2 linked regions of the Drosophila melanogaster genome follow. The protein of the gene in region 1 purifies or fractionates together with the protein of each later gene. This does not show direct contact. Each region holds a gene or a part of one and is shown in the gene's direction. Other genes may lie near its edges.

Region 1 (11,819 bases):
TCTACATATCTTCATCTATATCCATAACTGGTTGATATCCTATTGTGTTTTAATTACGATAATCTGCGACTGAATCATAAATCAAGGCACGCGAAAGTGAGGCACGATTACCCATTTCAGATCCGTGCGAATTCGCTAATTATCACGTACGGGTCCATTCATTATGATGGGTTCATTGATTGCCGAATATGAAAACCGCGACCGAAATATAACTATTTCGTGCCAAACAAAACCATTAGGCTCCAATGATATTTCCATCATGGGTGCTTTGAATGAGCTCTAAGTTTATGGATTGGTTTTAATTGTTAGTAGCCAATTAACTTGTCTAGTTGGTCAATGGGTTTTGGCCAAGTCTTTAAACCGTTTTCTGGTACATTCATTCTCGAAATCCTCAGTTTCTTGTCACAGCTTCTTGCTTGTGGCCCCATGACCCAAAAAGAGCGCCCCGACATTAGTCTCTAGTTGGTGTAAACAACTTAGTTAACAGATCGTCTTGACAAAAGCGTCGCTAAATTTATGAACTACATGGACTACCCCCCAAGGGACTCCATTCCAGAGGTCGTTTAACCCCTCCTTTAACCCCCCAAACGCCAAGAGGAAGACGGATCGACAACGACATCGCCGAAGCCTTGCCAGTCACGTTATCTTCAGCTTACGTAACTCCACTTGCTGGAGCTCTGGGTTTCAGTTTCGTCTTGAGATTGGAGTTGGAGTTTTGGCTTTGGTTTTGGGTTTTCTTCGGGGGCCTCTTCACAACGGCTCTTCTCGAATTTCGTTTTTCTTACGGCTTTGCCTTTGGGAACTTCGCTGTTTGTTTTTACAGCGGCTACCTGATTTCGCTTTCAGTCCAAAAAAAACTTAATGATCAGCACCCAGTTCTTCAGTTTGTTTGTCAAACAAAAACAGCTTAAGGCTGCATTTATAAAGGCTCTTCAACGGCGAAGGCTAATTGCATGCATAAGCCTTCGGGACAAGTCAAGAGAATGCACTTCTCTGAAAAAATTAGTATTTTAAGATATACTCTTCTCTGTGGACATCCATAAACAAAGTGGTTCCATATATGTATTGACATCCTAAATAAAAATTAGCCAATATTTCAATTGATTTCAGACCCAGTGAGTGTTCTATTGGTGCAACTGTCATTAGTTGTTAGCTGTGGGATAGCACTTGCCTACCCACCGATGTGGGTCATGATCACGATCACGATCGAAGTTAACTGTGGGGTGAGTTCGAACTTGTGCACCGGTGAGTTTTGGAAATGCAAATGCAAATGGAAAGTGAGGGTGAGATTGTATATGCAAAAAGTGAGTGAAGAATTGGAATTTCTAACAGATATTCATAGACAGAGGAAGGGGGAGGGGGGCTCGGGATCAGTTCAGAATAAATCTTAGTAGGATCGAGATAAAATCGTAAAATTAGTTACAGATAACAACGTCAAGAAGAAGCTGAAAGTCATGGGTGTGCTATTCTATACACAAGTTATAAAATATTCATAGATGGTAATGTTACTCAAGCAGGTTTGACTGGCATAATATTTATGCCATATATTTATAATATCTATAACTTTGTATGTCACCCATAAACTTGTAGCTTCTTCCAGAAAAAAACGCAATAAGCACACATAACATTTAAAACGTAAACCGCAAATAGGAAAGAGGTAAAGACAAAAAAAAAGCGAAGAGGATCGCCGTTTCAAAAATCCGATTCGCATGCTGGTGCGAATTGAATATGCGATCCGATAGCGCAATCGCAATCGCAATTGCAATCGCCTTAGTTTATATCTATATAGGCTGCTTTAATTTAATACCAGGCCTTCCAGCGGCGAAATCGGCGCCGATGATCAGCAGCAGCATAACGGTAAAGCTAACCACGCTGCCACCGCATCGTGTCTTCGGATCGAACTGCATTATCTCGTGGGTGAGCACGGAGCTTCGCGTTTTGGCTTACTGCTCGTATTATTTCTCTTTATATATTAACCCCTTTTCGAATTTGTCACGCAATTAACAATTTGGAATTGGGCATTGCCCAAAGGGGATGGCAGCGAGATCGGCGGGAATACAATTATATCGCGTAGGAGCCGTCGATCCGGCCAACAATGATCGCGATGACAAAATCGCAGGCGTCGCAATCGAAGCCGACAACTATAATGTGTAATATTTTCACCGCCTTTTCTCAATCGGAATAAAATCCGCGGCACGATATCACGATCACTTCGGTGCGCGAGCGAGAGGGTGCTATGCGCGGAGGGCGGCGGTGCGAGCGAGCAAGAGCGATGGAGATCGTAGGTCGTATCTGGGAGATGCGCGATGCGCTCGAGCGAAACACGTCCGTAGCTCACGGATTCTGCGCTTTCAATAAACTTGGCCAAGAGCCGCTGCTCCAAGCTCGACTTGGCTAAAGCCGCGACGTCGCCAGCGACGCCGACTGCGACGGCGGCAGAGTGTCAAGTAAGTAAGTTGGGAAAAATGGGAATTTCGAACGCGCGAAAGCGTTATCTATTCAAGAGCCTTTTTCAGCTTCCCCCCGAATTTTCCAACCCTTCTGATCGCCATGTGTGTGTGTACTACTATCAACCGGAAAAGAGTGCAAAATAATTATTTTAATTACCCCAGGTGATCAGTTTTTTTTTGCATACTGGTCTCTCGCCACACTTTGACGCACTGCCAATGACGTTCAAGGTCAGCCGAGCAACATGATCGGATTCAGATATTAACCCCTGTAAGCCAACTTTTGTGTTATCTTAAAAATGCGTCTATAGCACGAATATCTTTATGAGATTAGTAGATATGACGAACAAGATAATATATGTAATATGTATTATATATTAATATCAACGAAGCAAGCATACCAAAATAGAAGTTGATCCCGCATTTCGATAAGGTGTTAATATTAACATCCAGCTAACAGTCGCCTAACATTAGTGCTATTCGCTAAATGATTTACAAGACAATAGCTAAATCGCCTCCCAAATAGACACAACTTTCGCATAAATTAAACACACACGAAATGCAAATGGTTATTGAAAACGAATGTGCTCCGTTCGGTTTGTTTATTTTGACAGGTTTGGCTTGATTTTTGGAAAATTATTATGCTAACAATGCATAAGTTATGCCTTCCATGTGCCACAGATTCGCCAGATCCTGTTCCCACAGCGAGTTCTTGTTGTTCTCGACTCCATCTCAATTCATTAATACAATATTTGACAATCGCGGCGTTGACATAAACACATTTCAAACTTGCCTGTTTCAGTCTGGCTCAGTGCATTGGGTTCTTGACTGGTCTGAGTCAGAGAACCAATCGATCGATCGATCAGACTTTTGGCAGATCAGCGTTCAGTAAAGATGCGTTGAGTTGGTCGGCGGTGTCAGTGATCGATGAACTTTTGGCATTTCGGCCCGCCCGGCTATTGACGCGACCGGTGATTAGATCATCGCACCTCGTGCTCATAAGTCATCACCTTTATGATCGCCCCCCATATGAAATTCTTTTCATATTTTGCATATAGAAGGTAGTTCAATAGTCTCGTACTTTAGTATCAACGATATGTTTCTGTTACGTCCTTGAATAACCATCTTCTATGGTCTTCAAACTTAAGTGCGGTAATGATCGCATTCGAAAGCCAACCGTGACCATATCTTCAGATGTCTCTGGAATGTAATTATCATTTGGCCCGAGCAAATCTTCTTTTTTTTTCAGCGCCCATCACAAAAAATTATGTCAGCTTATTGGTTCCGCATTTGAGCATTTGTACCGGCATTTGGCTTTCGACGATCAAAAGAGCTTCAAAAAGAGTTTCCTCGCCCCATCAGTTGGTGCAAATGGGCGTAGTTTGAGGAAAGGGGTTCACATAAATTGTAGCAGTATATATAATATTAAATTCTATAATCTCTAAAAAAGCTTATTCCTGAGAAATATATCTTTGAATGATATCTATTTGGAATAGCCCCGAAAACCATGCCACTGCGATGTCAGTGATTGCCCAGTTGATGGGGGGCAGTGGTGTCGGGAATCACGGCTGTTATTATTGTAACAATTACAACAAAGCTATTGCCAAATGGACCGCGATCCCGGCAAATGGCCAACGGTAGCGCTGTTGGAGTGGAGTATTGGGCGCCCAGCTCCTCCGCCCATAAATCAAATCGCTAAGGGACGCACAAAGGGGCCCAGCTGAGACAATGCCCATCAATGGGCGGCTGGCGTCGAAGAAGTAATCAAAATTGTATTACGAAAACAAACGTTTTTATACATTTCAGGCCGCTTCGTCTCGTTTCGTTTCGTTTGGCTTGGTTTCTTTTGGCTTTTCGGCTTTTGGCCACAACAATGGCAACACGCTGGCATCTCGGAAACTGCACAGTCAGCTAAGAGCGGCAACAAAGCGCCACATATTATTTACTTTAATAGAGTCGGCTCAGTTGGGAAATGTCGCCGCGACCCTTCACCCAAAGCGCCGTATTAATTGTTTATCGTCATTAATGTCGCACAACAAAGTCCAACGGTTTTTCACCATGCGAAATCCGACTTGTATATATATATATAATTTGGATTGGGGAAGCCCGAGTATATAGGCATGTAAATTTCAAACTTAAGTGCTCTGTTATGGTTGCTTTTCAACTTTCCAACTTTCATGAAGAGATCTCAAGATAACATTTTGTATTCATAAATTAAAATCTGATTATTTTTAACAAGTTTTATTAACAATAAATTCTAATTTCACCCGATACACTCATTGTTTTTCAGGTTTGAAATTCTATTTTAAAATTCATGGTGAGTATTGAGTAAAACAACACATCAACACATCATTCCAAAAGAATGCCGCCAATAAACGAAACAACTCTCGCAATTGCTGATTTGCCAAATTGTTTATGTTATTAATGATTTGGTAACCCGTTTCGTATCGATAAAATTGAATAAAATGCAATTTGCTGAATGCACACAGCCCACATGGAAAATGTGTTTTTCGAAAAACAACACAACAAGCCGAAAAAAGTCGAAAAGTCAAACAAATTGGCGGCTGAGACCAGTTTGCATTTTGAATGCTGAACCAGTTGGTTCACAACTACAAGAGCGGCGCATCTTCTGTAAAAACAACAACGTTTTTATTGCAAAAATATTGAAAAATGCGTTGACAACAACAAGCATATACATAAAGTCGCCTTTGTTGGTCACCGTGACCTTAACACAAATTTTGATTTTAGTATTATATCAACTGACTACGTGCATGGGTTTTTTTTCTGGTTCCTTCAACAAGTCGGGATGGTCTTTCATTAATAAAATTCCTTGGCGGCCGAAAGATCTGCATGAGTCATTTGGCCGCAGAATATATGGCGGTTCATTGAAACAAAACCCGAAAATACCCAAAACACAATAACAAGACAGTGACAAGCTGGGGATAGGAAAGATCCAAGCGAGATCAATTAATATTCTGTCTCGTTGACGGTTTCGCTGTGACTTTTTGCTAGCCTGCGTGGGGTTTTTTTTTCCTCATAATCGAGCATTCACACATAAGCCGAGATTTGCGATTTGATCTGAGAAGAAAGTCAAGAATAACCAGAACGGGTTTCAGTGGCTTAATGCGCTGAAGTTTCAAAGATCTGACCTTTTTGCTTGCCTTGGCGCGCACTTTTGCAGATTTTAATGGACACGGTTTGTTTGGCTGGCGGACTTAAAAATTTAATTTATTTTGAATTTAAATGAAATCGGTTAAGAACCGTTTCAAAATGACGTCAGACTTGACCAGTGTACGCTCCAGGGTGACCATGCAGCTTGAGGTTTTCAAAAAGTATTGTCTATCGATAACTTGTGAAGAACGCGGGCTTCTTTAAATTATTACATACAATTTAATTTTACTACTTTAAATTTATAACATTAAACTAGAATAAAACTATATACGTTTTGTGAAACATGTTCTATGCAAACATTTACAATCGCATTTTCCTAACTGCACTAAATTATTACTAGTATATTTTTCTTTGTTGTTTTGGGGCTGGCATACGGTCACACTTTGGGGATGATTTCTTCAATGTTAATTTCTTTAGACCCTCGGAAAACCACAACAAAAGGTGCGGATCGACATCCAAATGAGCTCCCTGTTCCGCAGCCTGAACCATTTTTCTTCGAAACGGGAGAATGTCGTGAAGGAGGCGCTCATAAATACACTGAACGAAAATGCGCGTGAGATAGAGTTCGAGGTGAAACAGAAGAGTTTGGGTGAGTTCTGGGTACTCCCCCGGAAATGGCCATCCATTTATATACATTCACGTATTGCAGAGGTCCTGGGAGTATGTGAGCAGACCAGTGCCCTGTGCACCACCCTGGAGGCCCTGTTCCTGCACGGGCTGAAGGACTCCTTCCTGTCCGCCACCTTCAATGTCATCGCTGGCGATGTGGAACGCAGGCCCGAGCCCAGCTTCTGGGCGCCCTGCATGGTCTTTATGCACAAGCAGGTGATCGAGCAGGTGCAGGGTCTCAGCCAGATCACCTCAGAGACGGGGCAGTGCCGCGCCTGGGTGCGCCAGTCGCTTAACGAGTCTGTGTTCTCCTCCTATCTGAACAACATGCGCAAGAACGGATCGGCCCTGTCGCAGTACTACAAGCGAAACGCCCTTATGCGGGACTCCGAGGGTCTGGAGACGGCCGCCAAGATTATGGAGAGCTTGGAGGCCTATGTGCAATTCGATCTGCCAGTGAACTCCAGCCTGTTGAACCACTGGCCCGACTACTCCCTGCAGCTATCTGATCTCTGGACACCTGCTCTCAAGTCCTGCCCGGTATGATCTTTTATCCTGCCAAGAATGTTCGGCTTAGACTTATCGTATAGTTCAACAATCCAAAATTCCTATGATAAGAGGGCCTTTCCTGGTCTTTATCGCTACAAGTGGACTAATTTGTGTATACCATTGCAGATTAGCAGCGGAGTTGATGTGGCCAGCTCGCTTGGATCCGATATCATTGCCATACCGACGCCACAGCCCCTGCAGACCAATGAACTGTTCTCGGAGTCCATTTCGAATAGCCCCTTTGGAAGGAATAGCAACTTTGGTGTTCCCGAACTCAGCCAGCGAGAGAACCTGGACCTGCTGATACAAAAGTTTGATGAAATGGATGTGATTAACGAGGAGCAAACAGGTGGCGATAAAGCGGAAACGAATGAAACAGCAGAGCAGGAAGCTCCATCTGGCAGTAAGACGAGGTCGAGGAAAAAATCCAATCGTCAAATGGACAGCAGCTCCTTCGCCGATCTGGATCTTGAAGCACCTTCTCTTCTGCCCCAGGGCAGTAATTCTTTGTCCAATCTAATGCAAACCTCATGGTCTGGTGACTTGGAAGCAACGCCTACATCACCCACAGAGGAACTGACAGGATCTAGGTTTTTCCAGCGATCTGTGAGCGTCAGTAGTTCAGTCAGTCTGCGTTCTCCAACTACGGACAGATGCAGCTACAATGCTCTGTTGCGGAAACACGAAAGCAACCGGGAAAGTGGAGCCGGATGGTCGGAGATCTGGGAGAAGTTTCGGGCCAGTGCCTCCAACCTCAATGTGGCTCAGCCTCAGCGAGATACCGATCCGCCCATTTCAGAAGACTTGAGTGATCTGCAGTCACTGGACGTAAGTTGGTTGAGAACTAAGATTATTATAAATTAAATGCTATCTTATTATAGACCAACTCGGAGTTTGAGCTGCTTACCTCAGAGTTTGACATGGTGGAGCTGCAGCAAATGGTGGCCCAGCTGTGTCAACTAGCTCGAGAGCCGGGTCTGGATGCCCAGGGATTCCTGTGCAAGAGCTGTCAGCATCCGCTGGGCATTGGCTACTCCAACTTTCAGTGAGATCATCCGTTTGTCCATTATTAATCCCACTTACATTTGTATCTACCCTTAGAGTTTGCGCCTTTAGTGGCAGCTACTACTGCAATAGCTGCATGGATGTTGAGATGCAATTGATACCCGCTCGCATCATTTACAATTGGGATTTCCGAAAGTACAGCGTCAGCAAGCGGGCAGCAACTTTCCTTGCCGAATTCCGATCGCATCCATTCCTGGACATGCAGTTGCTTAACCCGAGAATATATTTTGCTTCCGATGCCATGGCTGAATTGCAATCCCTGCGGATCCGACTAAACTTCATTAGGGCCTATTTGTATACCTGTGCTCCGAGCAGCATAGAGCTTCTCCAGAATCAGTTTGCTGGCAGGGAGTACCTTTACGAGCACATTCATCTGTACTCCATAGCAGATTTGGCTCTTATTCAGCGAGGTGTGCTGTGTCAGCAGCTGCAGAAAGCCTTCAAATTGGGGGAAGCGCATGTCTTGAAGTGCAGACTGTGCCACCTAAAAGGATTCATCTGCGAGATATGCCAGAGTCCAAGGGTGCTGTATCCCTTTCACATCAGCACCACATTCAGAGTGAGTCGAACTATCAAGAAATTGCAAGATGACAGATATTTTCATACTGGCGCTCACACATCTTTTTACAGTGTCTGGCCTGTGGAGCTGTGTTCCACGCTGAGTGTTTGAATGAGAAGCAGCCATGTCCCAAATGTGAACGAATACGTAAGCGCGAGGATCAGGGCCTCCAGGAGGCGGTGCAATGTCTTAAACAGAAGAATGAGGTTGCCTAAAATCGGCCATATTTAGATTTTAGGTTGAACAAGTGCGATTTGTTATTACACGTAACCAAGAAAAGGCTTTACTTTACATTTAAGCTAGGGTTAAGATAAAAATTGTTATGGCTTAAAAGCATTTACACTTACTCAAATATATAGCATACATAACATGGCTTTGCAAAAATGGTTACCAATTTTGTTGACTCAATGAAACCACTCAGTTGCTCAGTTTTTGAATGACTTCGTAATTTTATTTATAACTGCAATGATTTTGATTCGGAATAAAATGTTATGCAATTGCTGAATAATACTTCTAATGACACCAAGTCCAACAACAATGATTGAGTTAATAATAAGGATAATAATATAAATATGCATTATGTTCACTTCCAATAATTATCGCCCAATAAGGAGTTTAACAAACGTTTACCGAAAACCACAGATGATAGATAATACCTAAATACTTTCGAGATTATCACACCAACTCTCGTATTGCACATTGAACTAAAGAATTTTGAAATGGAATGTGGCGAGTTTCGTTGAAATGCCCTCGGTTGTGCTTCAGTATTTCATTGTTAACATATTTCTCTTGTTTGTGTGTGTGTATTGCTCTAGGGGATTAAGTCGTACAATAGTCGATTCTAAATATCGTATGTATATAATTACATTAATTATTTGTTGCTGTTGGGTTTTAACATGTTCAGTCTAGTAAGATATTTATGCAAAGAGGCGCGCTCCTAAATGTACATACAATCATTTACACCCGCCTATAAAAGGTATAGATGGAGCTGGGTAATTAATTTCACTAACTTGGTGCTAATTCTATATACAAATTTTATGTGCGGCTTATTTTGTTCTCTGCTTTAGCCATTTATTAAGTGCAGCCTGGGAAGACGCGAACGAATTATCGGTGATTTTTTAGCATGGGCCTGCCCTTTCTTCAGGTTCTCTATTGGGTCTTTTCAGTGTGCCATGGTATTTGGTTTATTGCACTTTTCATTGACTTTTGAACTTTTGCCTGTGGCACAAAACACTCCCGCTTACAACATACATCAACAACGAGCCACAAACACACACTCCACATGCACACACTTATGTATATACAGATCAAGCCCTAAGTTCAGTAGACGGTGGAGTTCCGCGGACCGATTCCAGGTGGCTGGGACTGTGGCCGTATGCTGGTGGAGCCACTGGAACCACCTGCCGCTCCGCCGTAAAGGAAACTTGATTGCCGGATGACTGATACCGTGGCGGCTGCCACGCCAGCTTGAGGAGGTGGAGCCGGTGCCCGATGCTTTTTCAGTGGAGCGTGCGCCGGCTTTAGCACTGGAGCTAATCCTCCTCCGAACCCGCCAGGATTAGGATTCGAGGTCGTATTATTGTTGCTTGCCACCGCGTTGTTGTTGTTGTTCACGCTGCTGTTTCCGGGTGCTGTTTGCGGAAGAATCGGAGTAGCGGGGAGAAAGATATATGTACAAACATGGATAGATATATAAAATAGCGAAGACTAACTAAGCCAAAAGGAGCTGCTATGATGCAAGCGAAAACGAAATACAAATGGTAAGAACACTTTTAGTGCAATATGCGGCAGAAGTGACAATGTGCACAATGTGCCTTGAAATTCTGAAATAAAGCTACAAAAATATTTCATAAAAATCAAAATTATATAGATTGAAGAATATTTTTGAAGTAATAATCTTCTGAAACGGACAAATGAATTTGAACCAATGACCAAGCGAAGAAATCTGCCGCCGAGGCAGCCCAAAAACTGGAGAAAACTTAAACACAAAATGAAACAAATGAAATATGTTCATGTATTTTATCCAAATGAATTTTGGTTTATTGTTTCTTCAAAAGATAACTTCGAAACTAAAACAAACAATTACTCGTAATGTGCCTGTTGCATACTAAAAATTATTCATCGGGTATAATATATATGCATATATATAGAGACGTTGGTAGGTACAATATATATAAAATGATAGCCGGGTACAAAAGTAAAGGCATGCGCTACATGTAGGAGAAATGTAAATGGGGGCGCAGGGAAATACAATGCAATATGGGTTGGCTTCTGTTTACATATACACGTACATATAAAGTTATAGTATAGATTGGGTAAAAATATAACTATGCGTAATAATATTGTGTGTGCTTAGTGGTAATATCGCGAGGGGAAGCTTCCATAGTCCTTCCCTTTTGAAATGTAACAAAATATAACATTAAAATTTATAAAATATATAATGTTTGGATAAAGCTATTCAACTTTAGTGTTATGCAATCAATATACAAAATAACATTCCTCCGCTGCGCTTTACGCAATCATTTCATTGCTTGTTAACAGTAAAATAAACAACAATAATTAAAAAGATTACTAAACTCTGCGGGATTTAACATATATATGTGTGTGCTGTGGATTGTAAGCCTGGGCTTTCCCTTCCTATACAATAATAATCTATACTGGTAGTAATACACTTTTAAAATTAAAATTATTTAGATATACGAATCGTTGTATAGATCGTTCGAGTTCGAAACTAAAATGCCGGAGCGTGTGCCTTAAGAGAAAACTAATTATATAACAGCATTCCGTGTGTGTGTGTGTGTGTGTGGTGTGTATATAACAATAATCGCAGTTACAATGCATCTAAATGTTTATGTACTTAAATAAAACACTCACAAAACAAACACACTCGCTCACACACTCGACTACATACCATTGGTGGCCTTAAACGTGCGACTAGGATAGACTTTTTGTATATTTAGAAACGGCGGCGGCTTGGGGAATTCAGTGACGTTGTGGAATCGCTTCCCGAACTTGGTCTCCAAGTCGTTGACCAGTCGACCCACGCTGGCTGCAGCTCCTGCTCCCGAGCCTGATGACAAGCCCGAGCTGCTGCCAAACTGATGCGAGGCATTGGCCATGTGCGTTGGTGGCGTCGATGGGGCGTTGGGCCGAATGGATGAGTGACGCTGCGGCGGAACTGGCGCTGATCCCGATCCGGAACCACCCTGTAAGAAACGAGAAGTCACTTAGCTTGATTCTACTGCGGTTTTTGGGGCTATCATAGCGTGTAGTTACGTTGCGCTTGCTGTTAAGCATATTGATAACCTTGACTGACTCGCCACTGTGCCTCCCTTGGCGATTTATATGGAGTATCTTCTTAAAGGAGTACACCGTCTTGTCTATCCAGTACTTCACTCGGTCCTGCTGGAGGAGCACAT
Region 2 (10,586 bases), on another chromosome or scaffold:
CGCGCGGAATGTTAAGCCATAACAACATAAAAAGCCGTTACATTTAAATTTACAAGAAAGGTTAATTGGAATAAATGGTTAAATTCATTAAATGGTTAGAATAATATAAAACTACAGTTTTATCATTAAAATGTATAAAACAACATGTCCAACTAAACAGCGGTGAAATTTATTGAAAACTTAGTATAGTATTTACAATAACAAACATATATGTACCTTTTATTTAGTAATTTTTAATATTTTTAGTTAGCTTGTTCTAGCTTCAACCGCATTCCGAAGTGTCTGTCTCCGCCAAAACCAATGAGCGTGCTCCACTGCAAATCCCAAGCAGCTTATGCCAATCCCCACGGACCAGAGATAGAAGGCGCCCTGCAGGATGTCCAGAGTGAGAACCACCTTTTTGTTACGAATCGCCAACTCGTTGGAGCCGGAATCCGTGTCCGTCTGGTCGCCCAGATCCTCGAGAAACTCCTCAGCATCCGGCGACGCACCAACCCGGGTGATCAGATCCATTTGACGCCAGTGCTCAAAGAAGCCGTGCTCGAGGAAGCCACTGTACAGAGATTCCAAGCGGTGCAGAAAGGGCGATCCTCTTGGTAGGATGTAGGTGCATATCATAGAGCGCAGATATTCCCGGGCGATGTGGTAGGCTGGTCGCTCTGCCTGCGAGTCATAGGTGATGGCCAGAAAGTCACGGGCGTGAAAATCCCGCATGATAAAGGCCGCTCGTCGATCCCTGCGCCGGACCACCGGCTGGTAATAGGATGTGGCTATTCCCAGTGGCAGCTGGCGACTACGGTTCTCCAGCAGACCGTATTGGTGCTCCGTCAGGGCGCTCCTAACTGCGTCATACATCGTGGTCACCGCATAAATGTGCACATCCAAATGTACCAAATCGTCCACTCGGTCCACCTGCTCCTCGTAGCTTGGTCGCACAAATCCGGACTCCAGTTTGGCAAAGTAGATGGTGGACAGGACGTAGCTGAAGAGGATCCAACCCATGAGGAACGTTCTCATCGAGCTGAAGGAGGATAGCCTGCCCGCCGGTTCACCCACATGTGTCTTGCCGAACATCTCGAGAATCTCATACCACGTTGCCTGAAACTGGATGACTCCGCGACGGGGAATTCTTCGCTGCAGACGTTGCATCACCCAGAAGACCAGCACCACAACCAAAAGGGTGACCAAGAGCAAGTACCACACAGTTCGCCGAAAGACACGCACGAAGATCAGGTACTCCGGCTGGATTGCGGAGGCGGGCACGACCAGGTGCAGGTTGCGACGGGTATAGGGATACAGCACCTCAACCGCTGGCCAAATGCAGTCGAGCACGAAGCGGGAATTGGGTGCAAAGTGGGTGTGACCACCGACTATGTCGCTGACCACGCCGGTGTAGTTTCCATTCGGAAGGCAACGACCGTAGGATTCGTTATCCTCCGGGAAGACATATGTTACTGAGGCATTCAACATCTCGCCAACAACTCGGGCCGCCACTCCATCCACTGCCTGATAGCCAGCTGTCTCCACAGGACTCCTGGGCATCGCCATCAACGGATCCGTAAACATGGAGAAACGCAATGGGTAGCCGCGCAAGTCCTTCACCTTTCTTGCGTACGGCACTTCGCCATCCAGCCGCTGAATCACTTGGAGACCACCCCAAGCAAAGGGATCAAAGTCAAAGGTGCCATTTTCCCTGCCGGTAATGGCCAATCCGTAGAGCAGCTTCTTGGCCCAACTGCCGCGAAAAAGTCGCAGTAACTGATGCCTTCCGGCATTTGGCCAAACAAACAGATACTTGTGCATATGCTTGCGCCTCTGGTGAGGATTCAACATGTCCAGGATGCGGCGTACCAAGGAATCACCCTTTTCGGCAGCCGGAATTTGAAAGATGCTTAGGCTGTCCGTTCGTCTAAATGGTTCCAGCTCATGTGCTTCCATGTTCCGTGTGATTACGGGCAGTCTACTGCCCACACACCGATAGAGATCCAATTCCAAGGCAGAGTAATCCGCATCGAAGGATGCCGGGCAGCTGGCACAGCGGTACAGATAGGTCACCTGGACATTCTGCTCTACGGCTATGCGACAGGCAATCTCGGCAAGGGCATAAATGCCAGGAAGATACCATTGGAGCAGCAATCCAACCAAAAACTTCATGTTCTACGAGCAGACTAACCAGTGAAATATCCTTTGGGTGAACACAACACCTGTAGAGGATTTCCCATGGGAGCCGTAATTCCCAATTAGGAAAAGCGATGCGTGAGCAGTTCATTAGTTGGCTAATATTTTTGGGGTAACTTGAAAAAAGTTATCAAAACTTGATTTCTACAAAATAATTATAAAAGGAATAAAAGGACATTACAGAAAATGAATGAAAGTAAACGGAAGGTTTGCAATAAAATGGGTTTTTTTTTATTTGAGTTTCTAAAAAGCAATAAGATTATGCATTTATAAAAGAAATCATTTTCTTTTGATTAGCAACTAAACATTTGAACAACATTTTGCATTAATGTATACTTCTAATGATAAGGTGTTGTTTATTCTAAATCGGATGAATCATATTTTGAAGACTTTGCGAATGACGCAGCAATGTGATCACCTTGAATAGACGAGACTCATATGTTCTCGAAGTCTGAATAATATAAAAATATATATTTCAAGATATACCAATACCAATTTCAAAACTTGAAACGCAAATCTAAAAAAAAGTATGCCATGATTATGGTTTCGGGTTTTCATAAACTATTTTCACCCGTTTCGGTTAGGTTTCTTTTCATATCTTTCGAGTAACCGGACAAAATCATTGAAAAATTTCTAAATTTTCAAAATTTGTTTATTTCGAATATAAAAGTTTTTTAACCATGGATAGGGGTACGTCTTCAAATCAGCCCGTAAGTATTTCATTTCTCTTTTGGTCTTTCAAATTTATCTCCGTGCTTTTCTGTAGATCCTGACCACCTGTGAGATGTATCCGCGCCGAAGGAACACGGAGTTCTACAGATCCCCGGAACCGAGAGTCTCCTGCCAAAACCAACGAGCGGAACATCCGGGGCAGATGCTCAACGTGACTCCCGACGAGAATCGGGAGGCCGTACGAAGACTTCCACGAATCCAGCCGCCAAATAATTTGGATAGTGTTTATCTACGCAATGGTTACTTTTCGTAAAATAAATTTTGTAGATTCTGTGTAAACTAAAATAAAGATATGTACGTATAGATATACTAATGAGATCATATGCATTTGCATAGAACGTCATAATTTCCTATCCTGTAATCATATATATTTTTATTTTGAAGGACATTTAATAGCAGTATAAAAACCGAGGACTGAAATGGGTCTGATTGATTGATATGTTCTCCATTGACCTGCGGATCATTCGATGGTCCATTGTTCTTTGTTGTCCGGGATTTGTTGTCGCAGCAACATGATGCTCCGTGTTTTGCAATTCGGAATATTTTTAGCATTGATAAAGAATCGATGCGGCGAACAAAGCAAACTTATCAAGGAAGCCGCCTGGTAACACCTCAATTGACAGGAGATCAGGTGGCCATGTAATCTTAATCACTATTTGAAATAGGTTAATCAAGGGGGCCCGTCAAACACCTGTTGTTGATATGTGTGAAAAAAGCACGATCATCAGTTTGAAATGGAAAAATGGGGAAAAATGAAAGTCATTACACGGCGACAAAATAGGTGTACCAATTCACGTTTTTAATGTGCTGTGGTATGAACTTTTTAAGTTGACAATGCAAGTGGGTTTGCTTATAAATAGTATCAATGTAATCGTGATATTTTGGGCATTCTTTTTTTTAGACTCTCCTATTTAGACAGCTGGAGAAGGTGTCTCTGGAGCGAGGAAATCTTAACTGGATCTTCCAGCTGCTTCACCTAACCACCAGTTTCTAGTGGCTCACTCTTGAATTTAGATAATGATGTAGGATTGATCTTGGTATGGCCGCCTAATCGTCGGTCTTATCACCTGCAATTATGGATGCAGCATGGGCGCTAAGATTGAGAGCTTCGCGGGTCGTTCAGATCCGGCGATGGCGCGGATCAAGGCTACGGATGCGACCGGTCATTGGCCGGATTGCAATCTGCGTATCGCCGATCCGGGGGTATAAATACTGGCTACCGATCATTGCAGCGTTACGATTCGAATCGACTCGAGAAGATGAAGTCGTTCACGGTGATTGCGTTAGCTGCAGTGGCATTGCTGGCTACTCTCGGCCAGGCCAAGCACCTGGACTCCAAGGTGGCGGACAAGGACTTTCTGATGAAACAGAAGTTCATGTACCAGATCCTGCAGCACATCTACCAGGACGATGTGTTCACCACGCCCTTCGGGGGCAGCTACGTGGAGTACAAGCCGTGGGAGCACGTGGCCGACTATGTGCACCCGGAGATGTTGGAGCACTTCTTCGAGCTGTGGCAACACCAACCCTTCACCGATGACATGGTGTGGTCGGTGATGTACGACAAGCACGAGGAGTATGTGGTGGGTCTGGTGCGTCTCTTCTACTTCGCCAAGAACTGGGAGACCTTCCAGCACGTCGTCTACTGGGCCCGCCAGCACGTAAACAAGCAGTTGTTCGTGTACGCCGTGACCATTGCCAGTTTGTTCCGTGATGATATGCAGGGAGTCGTCCTGCCGGCCCACTACGAGATCCACCCATGGAGCTACTTCGATAGCCAGGCACTGGAATGGGCTGAGCACTACAAAATGCACGGCTTCCATCATGTCAAGCAGATGGACAACATCTACAACGTGGTGATCCGTACGAACTATTCGAACGTGCACGGTTCCCTGAACTACGATCACGATTTGGCCTACTACCTGGAGGATGTTGGCTTCAATGCCTTCTACTACTACTTCAATCTGGACTATCCGTTCTGGACGAAGGGCGGCGAGGAGCATGTCCTTAACAAGGATCGTCGCGGTGAGCTCTACCTGTATGTCCACTGGCAATTGCTGGCCCGTTGGTACCTGGAGCGTCTGTCCCACGATCTCGGCGAGGTGCCCGCTTTCAACATGTATGTGCCAACCGAATCCGGCTATGCCAGTAACCTGCGCACCTACTACGGCGTACCCCAATGGCACCGGGAGAATCACCACAGCTTCTACCACGAGCACAACTACGAGCACATCGAGCATGTGGAGATGTACACGCAGCGTGTCATGGACTGGATCCACAAGAACGAGAAGTTCGATGTGGAGACCATCAATGTGCTGGGCAACATCATCCAGGGCAATGCGGACAGCGTGGACAAGAAGTTCTACGGCAGTCTTGACAAGCTGTACCGCTTCATTGTGAACGAGGGCCACCATTATGGCCATGGTGACGAGAGCTTCCCTGGCCTTTTCATGCACTACGACACCTCTATGCGCGATCCGATCTTCTACGAGGTATACAAGACCATTGTCAGCCACTACTGGCATCTGATGGAGACCTATCCGGAGTACCACAAGAAGGATTACGCCTTCGAGGGTGTCCACATCGATGCCGTCCACATGCCCGAAAGTCTGACCACCTACTTCGAGCACTTCGACTCGGACATCAGCAATGCCGTCAATGTGGAGCCCGCCGTTGAGGGATCCGCCGATCCGTTGTACACCTTCGGCAGGAACTCCCACTACAAGGGATCCAGCTATGTGATCAAGGCCCGCCAGCAGCGTCTCAACCACAAGCCCTTCGAGTTCACCCTGGACGTGACCTCGGACAAGGCTCAGGATGCCGTTGTGAAGGTCTTCATTGGACCCAAGTACGATGAGCACGGACACGAGATCCCACTGGAGCACAACTACCAGAACTTCTTCGAGCTGGAGCACTTCAAGGTGCATCTGGAGGCGGGCGTTAACCACATCAAGCGCGCCAGCGGTGACTTCTCCTTCTGGGTGAACGATCGCACCACCTACCTGGAGCTCTACCAGAAGCTGATGGACGCCACCAACAGTGACTACAAGTTCAAGCTGGATCAGTCGGAGGCCCATTGCGGCGTGCCCAACCGAATGATGCTGCCGCGCGGCAAGAAGGGCGGCCAGGTGTTCCAGTTCTTCTACATGGTCTACCCGTACCACCAGCCCGAGGTTGCCCAGTTCACTGGCTACGATCCGGTGGTCAGCTGCGGCGTGGGACACGGTTCCCGCTACGTGGACGCCCTGCCCTTCGGTTTCCCCTTCAACAGGCCGGTGAAGCATGACTACTACTTCGATGTCCACAACTTCAAGTTCGTCGACGTGAAGATCTTCCATCGCGACGAGCACACCAATGTGGTCTAGATCCTGGACCCAACGAATACGAACCCCAAAACGAACCAACGATATTGGATAGATTACATATGTTTTCCTTGTTATATCTTTGTCTGCATCCACTTACCCCATAGAGATCGTAATTTAACTCAATTTTTACCCAGCTTGTCAGTCCACCTTGTGACCATCGAACAATAAACGTATTCAACACAAGTCACTCTCTTTTCAATTTTTCAAAATATATTTTTGGTTTTCTAGTTATTTTCCTCTACTTACAGAATATATGTAAATAGAAGGAACAATAGAATAAAGGGCTTATTGATACTAGTTTTAAAGCCTACAGTTTTTAGCAGACGAATTTTCAAGTTAAAAATAGGCATTTTTATCTGGAATAAACACAATAGATTGTTAGATTTCTTAAATTACAATTTAATATTAAATGGTAAAATATGGTAACAAAAATATTTGCTTTATGCAAACCACGCTTGACATATTTCAGAATATGGTTTCAAATTGTATCATATTTTAAAAATATTAAAAGTTAAATTCAAAATATTTATAAATAATTAACCCTCACATTTTTTCTTTCACTGTATTAAGGTGCATTCCAGGGATGCGTACAACCACCTGCAGTTTGCCCCGTGAACGATAACTAGTTCGCTCATCTGCACCAATTGCTCGCATCCCTGGTCGCTAAAAAAACACACAAAGACTTGTTTTGTTGTTCTTCCCCAAAAATGAGCTCCTGGAAGGACAGTCTCACGAGCATTCCGGGCACGGTGGCGCAGTTGATTAACGAGAGCGCCAGCAACCTGTTACACGCCTCATCCACGCTGGGATCAACAGTTGGCCTTGGAGGCTCTGGCTCCACTGGATCTGGATCCGAGGCCGGAGGCTCCGAGGAAAGTGGTCCACAAGGTGCGGAGTACAGGGCGTTGCCCATTCCCGCGTCCTTGGTGCGCGAGCAATGGCGCCTAATCTTCACCAGCGATGCCAATATCCAGGATTTGCAGGCGGCCATCGCCCATTGCAGAGATCTCGTCCTGCTGAGCGAGGAACTCAGCGAGGAGCGTCGCTGGTTGGTGCGGCACCTGGTAGATTTGCGATACTCACTGCAGGAGCTGGAGGAGGCCCAGGAGCAGCATTCCCTATCGTCGGACATGGTAGTTATGAATGCCATACGTGCTGTGGTGGGTCATCATTTTGTGCCCCATCACCCGCATCATGGCAAACGGAATCGTCTGCAGGCAGCCGCCAAGAGGAACTACTGTGACCACTGCACCACCATTATTTGGAGTGTGGTGCAGAACTCGTACGTGTGCAGCGATTGCGGATTCCTGGTCCATCAGAAGTGCATCGATGGCGTGAAGAGGGTTTGTGCCCATGTCCTGGTTTCAGAGCGGCAGCATCCCATTTCGGAGATATGTCCAGAAATCGGACTCGCCTCCCAGGGATACAAGTGCGCCGAGTGCGGGACGATGCTAAATATAAGTAAGTTAAGGCTACTCTTTTGGTTCCGAATAATTAGACTCCTTCCTCGTAGAAAATACCTGGATTGAGCCGCGTCTATGCGACTATAGTGGATTGTACTACTGCCCTCGCTGCAACTGGAACGACAGTAACTTTATACCAGCCCGCATTATCCACAATTGGGACTTTTCGCCACGCAGAGTGTCGCGCACGGCGCTCCAAGAGATTAGGTTGTTCCTAAATAAACCGCTCATTCGCTTGGAGGAGGACAATCCCAAGCTGTTTGTGTTCGTAGAAAAATTGTGTGCGGTAAAGAAACTTCGCCAAAATCTGGTGCATATGCGCCACTATCTGGCTGCCTGCAAGATTGCCAGCGAGTTGAAGCTGGTGGATCAGCAACTGGGTGTCCGGCGACATCTGGCCCAGTCAAATGAGTTCTATTCCCTAAGTGATCTCAGCCAGGTGGAATCTGGAGCGCTGAGCGAATTTCTGCAAGGAGTTTTCAAGGCATTCAATGATCACATACGATCCTGCCCCATGTGCCTTGCCCAAGCGTACATTTGCGAGATTTGTAGCAACAACGAGGTGATCTTTCCCTTCGACGATGGCTGCATCAAGTGTGATCAGTGCAATTCCATCTTCCACCGAGTTTGCCTCACGCGCAAAAATATGATTTGCCCCAAATGCATTCGCATCCAAGAGCGGCGTCTTCAATTGGATCGCATGAAGAGCACCGAGGACGATGATGATGATGATGATGGAGTGGCCACCGATGATGACGTGACTGCCGCAGAATAACTGATCAAATCAGAGTTCATTGTGCTGTGTTGGTTTTTAATATGTTATCATATGTACATAAAATGTAACTATAAAATGTATAACTATATATGAACTTTTATTCTTAGATTTATCATAACTCTTTAGTTATCCTTTTTTCCATATTTTTCCCGCTTGTGGAATTTTCTGGGATTTATGCCATATGCCTTTAATCGATCGTCGGTTATTCCACTATTGTTATTTTGCTTGTTTTTCGCCTTAAAGTTGTTCGTTTTCTTAGCTGGGAAGGGTGCACTTGGCTTTTGGTTTGATTTCTTAAAGGGATTGGTGCCGTTAGCGTTTCTCGGTCCCTTTTTGTTTCCACCTTGATTTTTATGAATTGGTGGCAGTTCCTGCCTTTGTTGGGATTTCGATTGTGGCTTATTGAAAGGATTATTACCATTTGATTTTTCTGCTTTTGCAGGCGCACTTTCCGTAGTTTTAAATGGTTGGTTCGACTTTGTCTTTGCACTTTTATTTGCTTGATTTTGGGGTTTTTGGAATCCATTTTGCACGTTTTTAGGCTCTTTTTTGTTATTTTTTAAGGCATTATTGTTTTTCGTTTTCTCCGTGCTTTGTGGACTGTTTTTAGTTTCCTGATTTGCGTCATCTTTGCCCTTTTTAGAGGGAGTATCGACTTTTTTCTTAGAACTTTCTGCCTGGACATCTTCAGTAGATCCATCCGCTTCCTTTGGATCCTTGGAGTCACTTTCTTCTTTTAGAACCTTAGGAGCACTGGCTGCTGCTGCGGCAGCCTTACGTTTCAGGCGTTTCCTCTTTGATTTGGACAAACCTTCTGTCGAGACTTGACCATTTTCGGCTGGAGCTGTCGCTTCAGCTGGTGTCACTTCTGGTTTCTCTTCTGCTGGCTGCTCCTCATCGTCAGAACTGCATGAGAGTCAAGTTTTAATACACACCCGTTCGAAATCGAAATTTTATTGTAAGTTACTCACCCTTCTCCATAAAGACTCTTAAATATCTTTCGCTTAAGGTCTTCATTCTTGGCTTTCATCTTGTAGAGACGCTGCTCCTTTTTCTCTACGTGTTCCGGTCTGTTTTGGACAGCTTTCTTTAAGCTAGCCCACTGGTTAAGCTCCTTGTTCTTGGCCAGCAAGATCTATTCAACAGAAAATATAATATCATTGTTCAACTTTAACGAAGCTAATCGAAAATGTACCTCTTCTATCGTCAAACCGAAATCGTTTGGTGTGGTTTCCACATATTTAAATCGACACGGTTGATCCCCGATGATGTCCTCGCAATCCATTTGGTAGTACTCATCGATGTACTCACTGTACGTCTTTTCGTCCTCAGGATTGAATGCAGGCTTTTCCGCCTGGATCATTTCCATAAAGCGATTTCGTCTACCCTTTCGTCCTTTGCGACCACGAGTGTTTTCGATGAGCTCTTGTTGAAGTTGCTCCTTGGCCGTGGACGGATCGTAGTCGCAATCCATGTTGAAGTCGTCGTCCTCGCAGTGTCCTTCATAATCCTCACCGCCCCCATTGGCGTGCTGTCTAGGATCGTAGTTATCCCAATCTTCCAGCACCAATTCATCGATATCCGAGGGACATTCTGGTTTCTCCTCGCCTTCATCGACATTGTAGTACTCATCGTCGAAGAGCTCCTGCATTCGACGATCGTGGGCCGCCGGGTCAAAGTCCTCCTCGAGTTCTTCGTCCCGGAAACCAAGCTCATCGTTGCCAGTGACCGCTTTTAATTTGCGTATCTTTTCATCGATCTCCTTACGCTTCATTTCCTTGACCAGTTCCAACTCCTTCATCTTTTGCTGTTTCTCCTGATCCTTGCGCTCCTTCAGCTCCTTGCGTTTTTCTTTCCTCTTGTCATCCGTGCGACGCAGGGATTGTTCGATGGTGCGGGGATAGCGCTTTATGAAGTCCGCATCTGGCTCCTCAAAGCGGAAATTGTACTTGTGCTCAAACTCTGCCTGCTTCTCAAGTTCCTGCTCATCCTCGGAGAGCGGAGCAGCTTCGCCCACGATCTCATCGTAGGTGGGAATGGCGGACTCATCCGTGTTTGCATAGCCCTTGTTGA

The links.
Region 2: the proteins of Plekhm1 (region 1) and DEF8 purify together in Drosophila melanogaster (affinity purification with mass spectrometry, with the first as the bait; one large-scale study listed by BioGRID). This does not show direct contact.

What each region holds. Positions count from the first base shown.
Region 1 is NT_033778.4:22,097,175-22,108,993, forward strand, and holds Plekhm1 (pleckstrin homology and RUN domain containing M1), read left to right. Parts: upstream 1-6,002; 5' UTR 6,003-6,077; coding exon 6,078-6,207; intron 6,208-6,267; coding exon 6,268-6,767; intron 6,768-6,902; coding exon 6,903-7,604; intron 7,605-7,657; coding exon 7,658-7,821; intron 7,822-7,877; coding exon 7,878-8,400; intron 8,401-8,471; coding exon 8,472-8,615; 3' UTR 8,616-8,789; downstream 8,790-11,819. Other genes in the region: flap (flapper), read right to left, coding at 1,808-1,907; Vrp1 (verprolin 1), read right to left, coding at 9,721-10,031, 11,312-11,606, 11,677-11,805.
Region 2 is NT_037436.4:12,125,241-12,135,826, forward strand, and holds DEF8 (differentially expressed in FDCP 8 homolog), read left to right. Parts: upstream 1-6,905; 5' UTR 6,906-6,982; coding exon 6,983-7,736; exon of another isoform or gene 7,737-7,788; coding exon 7,789-8,513; 3' UTR 8,514-8,594; downstream 8,595-10,586. Other genes in the region: Ir68b (ionotropic receptor 68b), read right to left, coding at 247-2,154; CG34241 (uncharacterized protein), read left to right, coding at 2,859-2,888, 2,945-3,163; Lsp2 (larval serum protein 2), read left to right, coding at 4,170-6,275; CG5645 (uncharacterized protein), read right to left, coding at 8,636-9,419, 9,485-9,648, 9,709-10,586.